Linked DNA regions of Caenorhabditis elegans. The protein of the gene in region 1 interacts with the protein of each later gene in a pairwise test. Each region holds a gene or a part of one and is shown on either strand. Other genes may lie near its edges.

What was found. Proteins that work in one complex are often made in the same cells at the same time.
Region 2: the proteins of gon-4 (region 1) and ZK973.9 interact in a two-hybrid assay, tested with the Caenorhabditis elegans proteins (one large-scale study listed by BioGRID).

The regions. Positions count from the first base shown.
Region 1 is NC_003282.8:10,196,196-10,203,510, forward strand, and holds gon-4 (GON-4-like protein), read left to right. Parts: upstream 1-1,621; 5' UTR 1,622-1,624; coding exon 1,625-1,707; intron 1,708-1,751; coding exon 1,752-2,016; intron 2,017-2,060; coding exon 2,061-2,171; intron 2,172-2,218; coding exon 2,219-2,567; intron 2,568-2,620; coding exon 2,621-2,871; intron 2,872-3,124; coding exon 3,125-3,808; intron 3,809-3,853; coding exon 3,854-4,213; intron 4,214-4,516; coding exon 4,517-5,425; intron 5,426-5,478; coding exon 5,479-5,544; intron 5,545-5,595; coding exon 5,596-5,763; intron 5,764-5,806; coding exon 5,807-5,962; intron 5,963-6,013; coding exon 6,014-6,283; intron 6,284-6,332; coding exon 6,333-6,500; coding exon of another isoform or gene 6,501-6,504; intron 6,505-6,551; coding exon 6,552-6,728; 3' UTR 6,729-6,798; downstream 6,799-7,315.
Region 2 is NC_003279.8:4,369,863-4,373,937, reverse strand, and holds ZK973.9 (SS18 N-terminal domain-containing protein), read left to right. Parts: upstream 1-1,799; 5' UTR 1,800-1,826; coding exon 1,827-1,922; intron 1,923-2,525; coding exon 2,526-3,039; intron 3,040-3,243; coding exon 3,244-3,335; 3' UTR 3,336-3,519; downstream 3,520-4,075. Other genes in the region: cec-10 (Chromo domain-containing protein), read right to left, coding at 1-75, 125-274; lpd-5 (NADH dehydrogenase [ubiquinone] iron-sulfur protein 4, mitochondrial), read left to right, coding at 920-1,069, 1,172-1,368, 1,415-1,598; pdp-1 (PPM-type phosphatase domain-containing protein), read right to left, coding at 3,665-3,766.

The DNA.
Region 1 (7,315 bases):
CTCTATTAATCTTGCCTGCAAGACTAATTTTCAATTGGTCCGTAGGTGTGTAAGACTAATAGAGGCTGCAAGACTAACTTTCGAAGGTACTATGACTTTGGAAAGTGTCAAACTTTTAATAGAAAACTTAACTCCATACCGTTCAAACAATGAAAATATATATATTTTTTCGCAAAATTTCATCAGTTATTGCTGAAGTCTCCACATAGTATTAGTGGTCAAGCAAAAAGAGGAGTGTAAGACTATTAGAGACCATACGGTAATTGTAAATATTCTACTACGAGTTTTTATTTTATTATAACGTTTCTTTTACTATTAATAATTTGACTTTAGACATTGCAAGCTACGAAAATGCTCGAAATTTAGAAAAAAATAGCAAAGTTTGCAAAAGTTTGGCAATTAACCAAAATCTTTGTTCCTTGAAATTTATAGAGAAATAAGAAACCGTTCGAATAATACCATTCCCAATATAGTTAAATATTCTAGTTTATAGAAATTTCAAATATCGTAAACAGTATAAATATTTATTTTAACTTTTTTATTGGTTTTGAAAATAGTAAAGATGAGTAGAACAAAAAAATGTTTCCGTTTTGAAAAATGCCAATGTAAAAGTGGAGCTTATCAAGTTAAAAAAAAGCAGCATGTTCATAATTTTTGCTTGCACTAATACATTTTTGAAACGTTATGTTTGAAGTCTTTCTAGGGAAGCGCTTATAATTCAAAAATTCGAAAAAAAAAACAATTTTATAAGAAGTATTCAATTTCTATCCCGGGAACCTGGGGCAAATTACATGAATCTGTTAATCCAAAACAGACGGGAGTTTTGAGAATGTTGGTGAAAAGTGACAATTACTTTTTCTTTTGAAAATGCAAATTCGTGTGAAAAATGGGAACGGCTTTCTGTCGTATCGGTGATCCGGAGGCAGATGGTCGATGACTAATTGTTCAAATTTGCGGAAAAGAAACGAAGAAGACGAGTGAATGAAAAACTGTGGGAATCGGGAAAACTTAAACCTGCGAGAAACTGGGTACTTACGATATCCGTTTCATTTTGAACCCAGAATTAATAAATACCACCATTTGAAGAAAGAAGACCAGGGACCACATTTTTATAATGTTGAAAGCGCATACATAAACTTCTAACTTTTTGAAACATTTACAGGTTGTACAGTTTAAGAAAATGTTTTCTCAAATCTCATATTATTAAATGCGTGCCAATAAATTTGGTTATTCCTTTATTTTTATATTTAAGAGAATACTGTAGTCTTACTGTAGTTCCATGGCACAAATAATTCAACAGGAGGTGGCCGTGGCCGTGAATGCAACCTCGCTCCGACGAGAATAATTCGGCAAAGAAGAGACGGAGAATATGTTTTTTGAATTAATTGTTTCTGTTTTCATTCTGATTTTCATTTTTATAGAAGTAAAAATCGTTAAATTCAAATGTAAATCCAGTTTTCTTGTTCGATGAAATTTTTAAAAGAACATTTATATTATTTTAAGTGCAATTTAAATGCTAAACTTCCAGATAATTGCAAAAATAAGCTGAATGTCTATATTTTCTATTGAAAAAACGTTTAAATCAATTTTATTTCATCAGAAATTAATATTTTATTTCTACAGAATGGAAGACACCGCAGAAGAAAACAATGAATCAATAGATGATCAGCCATCAACTTCAACTGCAACTGATCCCAATCAAACACGGTTAATTTTGTTTAAAAAAAAAACGAATCAACTTATAATTTTAGAGAAACTGAAAAAGAAAAAGGAGACGATGAAATGTTCCGTTTACTTCAAGCAACTGATGAAATATTGGAGAACAAGGCAAAATCGATGAATTTGTCGTCTCTAAACGTTCGATCTATTCTTCACCATCTTATTAAATATCCTTCTACAATTGACGTTCTTCTTGGAATTCGAGAAAACGATGATCTTCCAAGCGTCAGAAATATGCGATCAAGAAAAAAACCCGATGACTCAGGTGCTTCATCTACAGTCAATACTCCTAAAAAGGTAAGAATTTATAATTTTTCTGAAGAAAACTGAAAAGTTTCCAGTTCGGCGCTCTCCGCATTGAAGATAGAGGTCCGAAAAGTTTTCTTGATTTGGAATACGAAGAAGATGATGAATACGATGACGACTACATTGAAGAAAATGACACGTCGACGGTGAGTAGCTCACTTTAATTGCTGAAAATAAAGTTTGTTGTATTTAGAGAAATAAATTAAATGCTGGAAGTGAAGAAGATGAAGAAAATGATGACGAGGAGGAAATAGAAGACGAAGGAGAAGATGAGGACGATGAGGAGCAGGATGAGTTGGAAGAAGATGGAGAACATGAAATCACTGGATCGGAAGCATGCACAAGTGGTCAAAACGATACAATGCATGCTTTGTTGTTTGACGAAACATCAGAAGACGTTCAGAACGAAGAGGATTATGTTTTAAATATGACTCTGAATGATACACGTGCTGAATCTGTTGCTCCAATTCCAACTCTTGACAATGTAGATGATGATGGATTTTATCGAGATTTCGTTACAGGAATTAATCGAACAGAAAAAGGTAAGATATTCAAGTGAGAACAAATAAATCACTGCCAAATTAACGAATTCCAGATAATGATAATCTGGAAGTTCTCGATACTGAAGATGATCCAGATGATGAAGATTATAATGTATGTGCTGATGATGGCCTCAACGTAGAAGATTGGGATGAAACGCGGCAAGATAAAACAACACAAATTCCACGACACGAGTTAAAAGCACTAATGATTGATACTTTATTGGCTGAAAAAGAAATTCCTTTGAACGCATTTCCAGAAGAAGCAATAAACGGAGAAGAACATAGGAAAAGTCAGAAAGTGAAGGCAAGTTTATTAGTTTTCGAATATTAATGCAACTAAACCAGGTATTTCTACAAAATGAGCCAGTATGGCATGTTCTCACAAAGTTTTTTATTAAATTATGTTTCTATATTTTCAGCACAAATTTTAATAAAAGTATTGTGAGAACATGCCACACTGGCTGATTGTGGGGAATTGCCGCGTAATCATGAACTACACAGAAAATTATTAAAAATTGTTGCGGAACACACATATTCAAATAATTTAAAATATTCAGGATGCTGAAGTGTACGAACGCATAAATACTTCAATATCATCTTCATCGGAATCATGTTCTCTCCTCAAAGACTCTCTTGCCACATTTCGTCCTCAAGAACTTCAGCAACTGAACATGCAACTGGAACAGCACGTTCAACTTCTCACTCAATTAGTTGTTACATGTCATCACGATGTAAACTTGTCTCATGTTAGAAATAGTTCTCAGCTAATGATGAACGAACTTGATGATATTCGACAACAGAAAATTTATCCCACTGTATTTGATGTACGCAATCTGGATGCTGCCATAGAATCGTGTCATGATATAAATGCTTTTGATGCAGTCGATGAAAGTTTTCTTAAGTATGCTGAAAATACAGAAGGATACGGTGGAATTGCATTAAGGCCGGAAGCTGCCGTCGTCTTGTCCAGAAGCAACGCTATTCGATATCCAGCTCTACTGCCTTCAAGACAACCTTTTTTTATTGAAACTCCTATTCCATTTTTGAGTGAAGAAGATCTGATGTTAGCTGTCGCTTTATTACAATTTGCTCATCTTCCCAGGCGCGGGGAAAAAGAAATGATAGATAGGTACACTGCTATTCAACAACATTGTCTACCGGCTAGAAGTTCGTACAAAATTCGAACACATTTAAAGTCAATGCGAAGGTCGGACAAGAACCCAATTCATCAAATAATGCAGGTTATTTTTTTCCATCTTCAGATTAAAAAAAACATTTATTTTCAGGCTGCGGAAAAAGGAGTGTGCAAACTTGTATTGCCATTGAAATCTTGGCAGGAATCAGATACTCCGATCTGTCAATGGCCTCCAGCTTCGCAGCCAGGATGGTATCGTCGGTTTCAGGAAACATTTAATGTCACAGAAGAACGAAAAATCCTTCGTAAGCATGTTTCCACGATGGTGTTGACTCCTGTAAAAAATAAAGATAGGCAAGATCAAGAAGCTTCGGAAGCGACTTTTGAATCTGGAGAAGAAGGAGAAGACGATGAGTTCGTGAACATGGGCACAGCGCCTGATGGACGGAAGATAATAATGGGAAGAGAACATATAGAAGATCTTGTACATCAATTGATTAAACAGAACGAGGTGAAGAGTTGATTACTGTGTATTCTCTATTAGTATTGCACCTCATTCAACGTTATCTCAGTTGGTTTCAGCTAACTTTTAGGCTTATAAAAAATTGTCAAATTGCTCATTTGTTTTTCTTTCATTTACTCGAATTTCAGGCTTTAAATGCAGAATCAATCGAAACGTTTGAAAAATCGAATGTTTTGCGGTATAACATTTTTATGTCATTTAATTAACTCGAGCCAAAATTGAAATGCGAGGTGCGATACTAATAGAGGAAATACATGTTACTTACGAAAACTTATTTGATTTTTATTGAAGATATCCCCATCAAAAAGACGAAAAAATCCCACCCCGATGAAGCTCAGTACGATGATTCAACTTGAAGAAGCTGAAAAGCGGATCGCTGATAGTCAAAAGAATAGTTGTGGCGGTCAAACAATATCCGCATTATCAAATGTTTCGGGTGATTCCAATGTAGATAATAACGGAACACACGAGAAAGAATTGATGCCTTCAACGTCATCAATTGATAGTTTGGAGTCCATAAACAATCAGGAAACTTCAAAATTTCCAAGACCTCTACCAATGTCTGATCAACCAACATTGAACACTTCGTGTCACATTACTACCACAACGTGTTCCGTGAGTTATGAAGACGTCGACGTTGGCACACTCAAAAAATCATATGTTGAAATAACAGCAAGTAAATATGAAACGAATTCGAACTCGTGTTTCTCGTATCCGATTCCTCCAACACCAGGACGTCGATCTCCTGATGACTTCGACGATTATTTCATGGACTTGGAGTCGAATAGTCTTATGTGGCCTCAAACACCGTATGCTGTTACCGATGAAAATCCACAGACACCACGAGGGTTCTCTGCTTCTGAATCTTCTGAACCAATCGATTTTTCATCGCTGGGAAAAGCTACATCACTGGATACTGAGGAGATCGTTTTCCAATCAACATCATGCCAGAGACCAATGGGATACTGTTCTGATTTTGGAGAATTTTCAAACTCTTCATCATTACCTGAAGAAATACCTGTACCTTCTCATCAAAGAACTCCACAAGAATCAGCAATTGAAGATGATTCGTCTATGCCAGGTCTCGATATGGTACCATTGTATGAGGAAGACGTTGAGGAATGTATTATTGAAGATATTGAAGAAGAAGAGGCTCCAATTAAACAAGGTCTTGTCAATTCTAGACCACCATTAAGATTTGTATGTTCAAAAAACTTTTATAAAATTTATTTAAATTCAATTAAATATTTCAGAAAAAAGAAGTGAAGGCTGGAATTACGAATTTAGCCCCTTCCAGAAAGAGGACCAGAATTGAAAGAGTTAGTTTTAAATTAACTATTCCTTTTGTATGCAATTTTATTCAATTTTAGGAAGCGATGGGATCTGTTGGACTGGATGATGAGCAACTTCATGACAAGCAGAAAGAAAATATCATGAGAAAAGTAATTGAAGACGTAAATCAAAGACTTTTCATGCACACTGATACATATCAGCGTTTCAAAGAAGCAATTACTGATGAAAACTTGACTGATTTTGAGGTTTTTCAAAAATTCATTTCATTATTTGTATATTTAATTGCAGAAAGTCACACGAACAATTATTATCCTGGCTAATCATCCCGAACTTCTGAATCTCGTTCTTCTCAATGCTCCACCAGAAGCTGTCATTTCAGACTTACAATGTGATCATAATTATCAATCATATAAAGTAGCGATTGAAATGATTATGGACATTGAAGTACGTAGCATATTCTGTCTAAAATATTTCATTATTTAATTTAACTTTTAGCGTTATATTACTGCTGCGAAACTGAAGGAACCATCATTGAAAGGACTTTTTCGATATATTCAAAGCTTTTTAGAGGATAAACCAAATATGACCGACGAGCAAGCAACCAAACGATTTTATGAATTATTTGGTCAAGACCGCCCATTGTGGAAGAAATTGGAGTCAAGATTCTGGTGTCTTCCGTACAAAGCTAGACCACGCCTTGAAAATTACGAATACATTGACTTGACTGGACTAGAGACAATGTCGAAACGAGAGAAGCGTGACTGGGTAAAAACTTGATCTTCTTTTTTAAAAATTTAAATCAGGAATATTTCAGAATAGCATTCCTCCGCGATTTGAGACGGTGGATGATATCGATCAAGTAATGGGAAGTGTTTATCGGGCGTCAAAGAATGAACCACCTTCAAATTTAGTTGTAAAATGTGGAGAATTTTGCATTCGAAATGACGACGAAACCTATACCCAATTGGAAATTACTGAACGAGTTAGTCTATCATGAAACTTTCAGATAAACGATACATTATACATTTTCCAGCTTTGGACCAGAAAAGATGACATATCTCTTTTGACCAGCTATAATGAAGCTCTCAAAACCATACCCAACTTTACCGTATCTCAAATGCCATCCTTGATATCCGACCTGTCATTCGGAGAAAAATCAATTATCGCACGATTACAATATCTTCTTACCGAACTTAAATCTCTTGATTAACTTTGAATAACTTAATATCTTTTGTGTCATTTAATTTTGAAACTTTGAAGAAAATGTACATTTTATTTTCAAATAATGTCATATATTATTTATAATCGAGGAAATACGGTAATCGTCTACTTTCAGAGAATTCTGACTTATACGTATATATACTAACGATCTTCATTGCTGAAATCTGCCCAAAATTCGCCTTATTAAAGGTGCACAGATTTATTCTTATTGTTGGGTCTCAGCGCGCAAAAAAATATGGTAGTTGAATTTTACAATAAAATGACAAGAAGTGGATGCTGATTGTAGATCAACGGATGGCGTTCCGACTTTTTTTTAACGAAAAATTGTTGAAAAATAAGAAAATTGCCAAGGATGAGATGCCGACAATGAATAGTATTCTCTCTAAACTTATCAAAAAATTGTTTATTTAAAAAAGGGCGAATAGAGCCGTAATCAAGTAAAAATAGACATAGGAATCAAATACATGTATTAATACAATCAAATAGAATTCATAGACTTATAGATCCGTGAACTTATGAATCATCTTCGACAAAAAATAATTTCTTTCGGAACGAGTGAATTATAGCCGAAAATCC
Region 2 (4,075 bases), on another chromosome or scaffold:
ATCAGCTTGCCATAAAACGAGAAACTCGACTCTTTTCAATTTTCCATTGTACCGCATTTCTTGTACTTTTTCGACCTGAAAAAAAGTTGAATGTATTTCTGTTTCAGTCAAATTGCAGTATTACCACCCAGTGATCCTCGTCTATTTCTTCTTCTTCTTCATCTTCTTCGTCTTCCTCACCTCCTTGTTCATCTTCTTCTGATTCTTCCAATGTTTGAACCGAGCTTTCCTCTTCAGTGTCTACGTTGACTTGGGTCTCGCTGGAGCTTGACATTCTGAAAACTAAAACAAGTGTTGTGAAAGCGGTAATTTAAGAGTGGTTACAAGTGTAAAAACTGACAATTTTCATGAAGTTTATTATCCAAGAACATTAAAAGGTGGTTGAGGTCAGAAGAACAGCTCACAAGAGAATTAGAAAGGATATTACAACGGGAGACAAAGGGTGAAGAATGTACTTAGACTGTAAGGCAATCATTGTGATAAATATTAAAAGTGACATGAGTCACAAGAAGGGAATGGTATGTGTTCTCGTACAAGCACTAGCTGTCAAAAAAATCAAAACACAATGGGGTCTCGTGAATTATGAGAAATTCTATTAGGAAATACTTTTAAATTGATTAATTAAATGTAAAAGAACAATCTGTATGGTTTAAATTGAATTATAGTTTTATTGAATTATAGTTTTAGACCTAAAATTATGAACGAATTAAAAAATGAATTCAGCTCAAAAAACATCTGATTTACGATAAACAACACGCGGTACCGTTATACCGGAGTGTCGTTGAAAACGCGAACATTTTTTTTATTTTCATATTTTTTCCTCTCAATTTATTGATTTTAATTAAATATTCTTTTCTATTTTTTCTAATCCGTCACAGTATTGTAATTTTAAATTATTTATTAATGGAGTAATTTACAGATGCTTCGTGCTGGAGCCTCTCGTTGCCTTTCGGCGGGAAACACGGCTTTCCGTTGCCTCTCGACTGGAAAGGACAACCTACCGGTCACAAGATCGCATGATGCCAAAAAGGTTGAGCTCAACGATATTCTTGACAAACCGTCTCAAAAAGTAAGATTTAAATGTTGATTTTTCCTGTTTTAATACACGAAATTCAGCGAATTGCACTTAAATTGTTTATACTTGACATTTTTATTGAAATAAATATTTCAGACTCCAGTAAAAGTATCATCCGATGAGACAATGGATATCGGAGGTGTTCCACTTGATCACCAAGATGCCCGTACCGCTCGCATCTTCCGTCCAGCAAGAGAGACTACACAAAGTGCTTGGGGTAATACCAAGTCCTGGACCATTGAGCTGGATAATCGTCAAAGATGGGAAAATCCATTGATGGGATGGTCTGGAACGTGAGTAGCATCTTAATGAAGTTTAAAGTTTAAAAAAAAAATTTAGTGCGGATCCACTCTCCAATGTTGGAATGGATCTCAAGTTTGCCACAAAAGAGGACGCTATCGCTTTCTGTGAAAAGAATCGCTGGGAGTTTGACGTCGAGGAGCCACATGAGCGCAAGATTAAGCCAAAGAATTACGGACAAAACTTCTCATGGAACAGAAGAACCAGAATTGGAACTAAGTAAATTTCTATTAAAAGACGAAGTAAACTGAACCGCTTCTATTTAGATTTTGTTTTTTTTTGTGTAGAAAATGAAGATTTATCTCGATATTGTACTGAAAACTATTATTGTATTGGTTTCTTGTTGGTTTCAAAAATATCCAACTTGTATTTTTTTAAAATTTGATTTCCCTGTTTATTTTCTATATTTCTTATAAATCACCAGATGTCAACGGCACATCTACCTCCAGCGATGCGAACAAATGTTCCAGATCAACAGTCAACTGTGCAGAAGTTACTCGATGAAAACTCAAGGCTGATCGATATTATACAGGAATATTTAAATCAGGTTTGTTTGTTTTTTTTTGCAAAAAAGGAGTACCTTAAAATACTCACTATTCCCAAATGCCGAAATACCACAAAAGAAAATCGTAAAAATTGCTAAGTATGAAAAAAAAGATGATTTTGGCGATTTTTCAACTGTTCCTCATTTGAATTACCGCACTATGGTCTATAAATACCGTCCATAGAACCGTGTCGCACTTTTCAATTTTGGCACAAATTTATCTTTTTTGTGTTGTTTTTCTAATTTTTAATAAAGAAATACGTCATAAATGTGCAAAATTGTTTTTAAAAAATCGTATCGATTTTGTTAAATTTCGCGGAACTCTATAGAGCTCTACAATAACAATGTTTTTTTTCTATTGAATAATTTTTAAATACAAAAAAAAAACGTTTATGACCTTTTTATTCATTAAAAATTAGAAAAAAACACAAAAAATTCTGCCTCAAAATTGAAGTGCGGAATGGCTCCATGGGCGGAGTTTAGAGACCATAGAGCGGTAATTCAAACGATTTTTCAGATTTAATGGAATTTTTTCGTTTTTTAAAAATTTATTTCGAAATTCGAGCACCGATTACTCCTCCTCTAATCATAAAAAAATCATTTCAGAGCCGTGCTGACGAAGCCATCAAACACCAACAACTTTTACATCGGAACTTGTTACATCTTTCAAATCTCGCAGACCCATTCCTTCTAAGCCAGCTGAAAGATGATGGTACCGCTGCTGCCGCTCTTCCAGATCCTAACCAACAACAGCCTCAACCCGGAGCTTCTGGTCCTCCGGCACCACATCTCCAACAACAACAACCACAACATTCACCACAACAAGGCCATCCACATCCTCAACAAGGACTTCCTGCCGCTCACCATCGTCAACAAATGATGCCACCACAGGCGGCACCAAGTCCAGGTGGTCCAATGCAGCCGCCTCACGGATTTGCTCCTCCGCCAATGGGTGGTGGTGTACCACCCGAGATGATGAATCATCAAGCTTATCAAGCACAAATGCGGCAGCAGCAACAACAGCCTAATGGACAAGCTCCGCCACCTGTGTATCCACCGTTTGGACAGCCAGCACCGCAGATGAGTGGACAGCGAATGCCTTATCCTTACCCGCCGCAAGGTAATTATTGTGGAAAAATACCTTATTTGAGTTAAAAAATTCCCAGAATTTCCCGAAAAAATAAAAATTGGTGAAAAAAAACTTCAGGGGAATTTTGGCCTTTTTGTACATTCTAAAAATAATTCTGAAATTTTTATATCCCAATCCAATCTCAAAGATTCTGCACCTCAAACTATAAATTCACTGAAATTTATTTTCTTTCAGGAATGCCTGGATATCCTGGAGGTCCACCACCACCACCACACGGATACGAAGGATATCCTCCACCAGGAGCCCAGCCAGGATACATGCGATAATCGACAGATCTCCAACTCCAAAATTTCACCAAATTGTCAAACATAACATCTCATTCCTTTGTCTCACTTTGATATGTACTAACTGAATCATTAAATTATTGTGATTGTATGTTTTTTTTTCGATGTGAGAAAAGAAAAGAATCATTGATCTTGAGCACCAATTAACAATAAATGCAACTATTATATACAAGAAAAGATACCTAGACAAAGACCGGGGAGACTCTTTGGCATAAAGTCGTCGTCTCTACAGAGGGGAGATTACAAAAATTAAAATAGGGATAATACCAGTAAAGACTATAAAAATGTGTGCATGGCATTAATTTTAAGAGTTATTCTTCATCGTCTTCGTGACCGTCGAGGAAGGTTTCATTGAAATGGATCACAATAACAGTGATGTCGTCACGATAGTTACGTGCTCGGCCGGGAGGGACCTGAAAAAATAATTTTTATTAAAAAAAAATCATAATGTTACAATCTTTCACCGTGCCTACTTAAAGGCGCACAGATTAATTCAGATGGGTCTCGGCGCGCAAAAAAGTTTATGGTAATTATTTGCAAATTTTTGCGATTTGTTTATTTTCCTTGCAGTTTTCTATAAAATTACTTTTTTTACGCTGCGCGCTGAGACCCATTTGAATAAATCCGTGTGCCTTTGTGAAGGTAATCTCGTGAAATTACGGGATTTCGCTTCAAAGTTTTAAAAAAAGACGTAGCAGGGAAATTTGTTACGAAAATTAAAA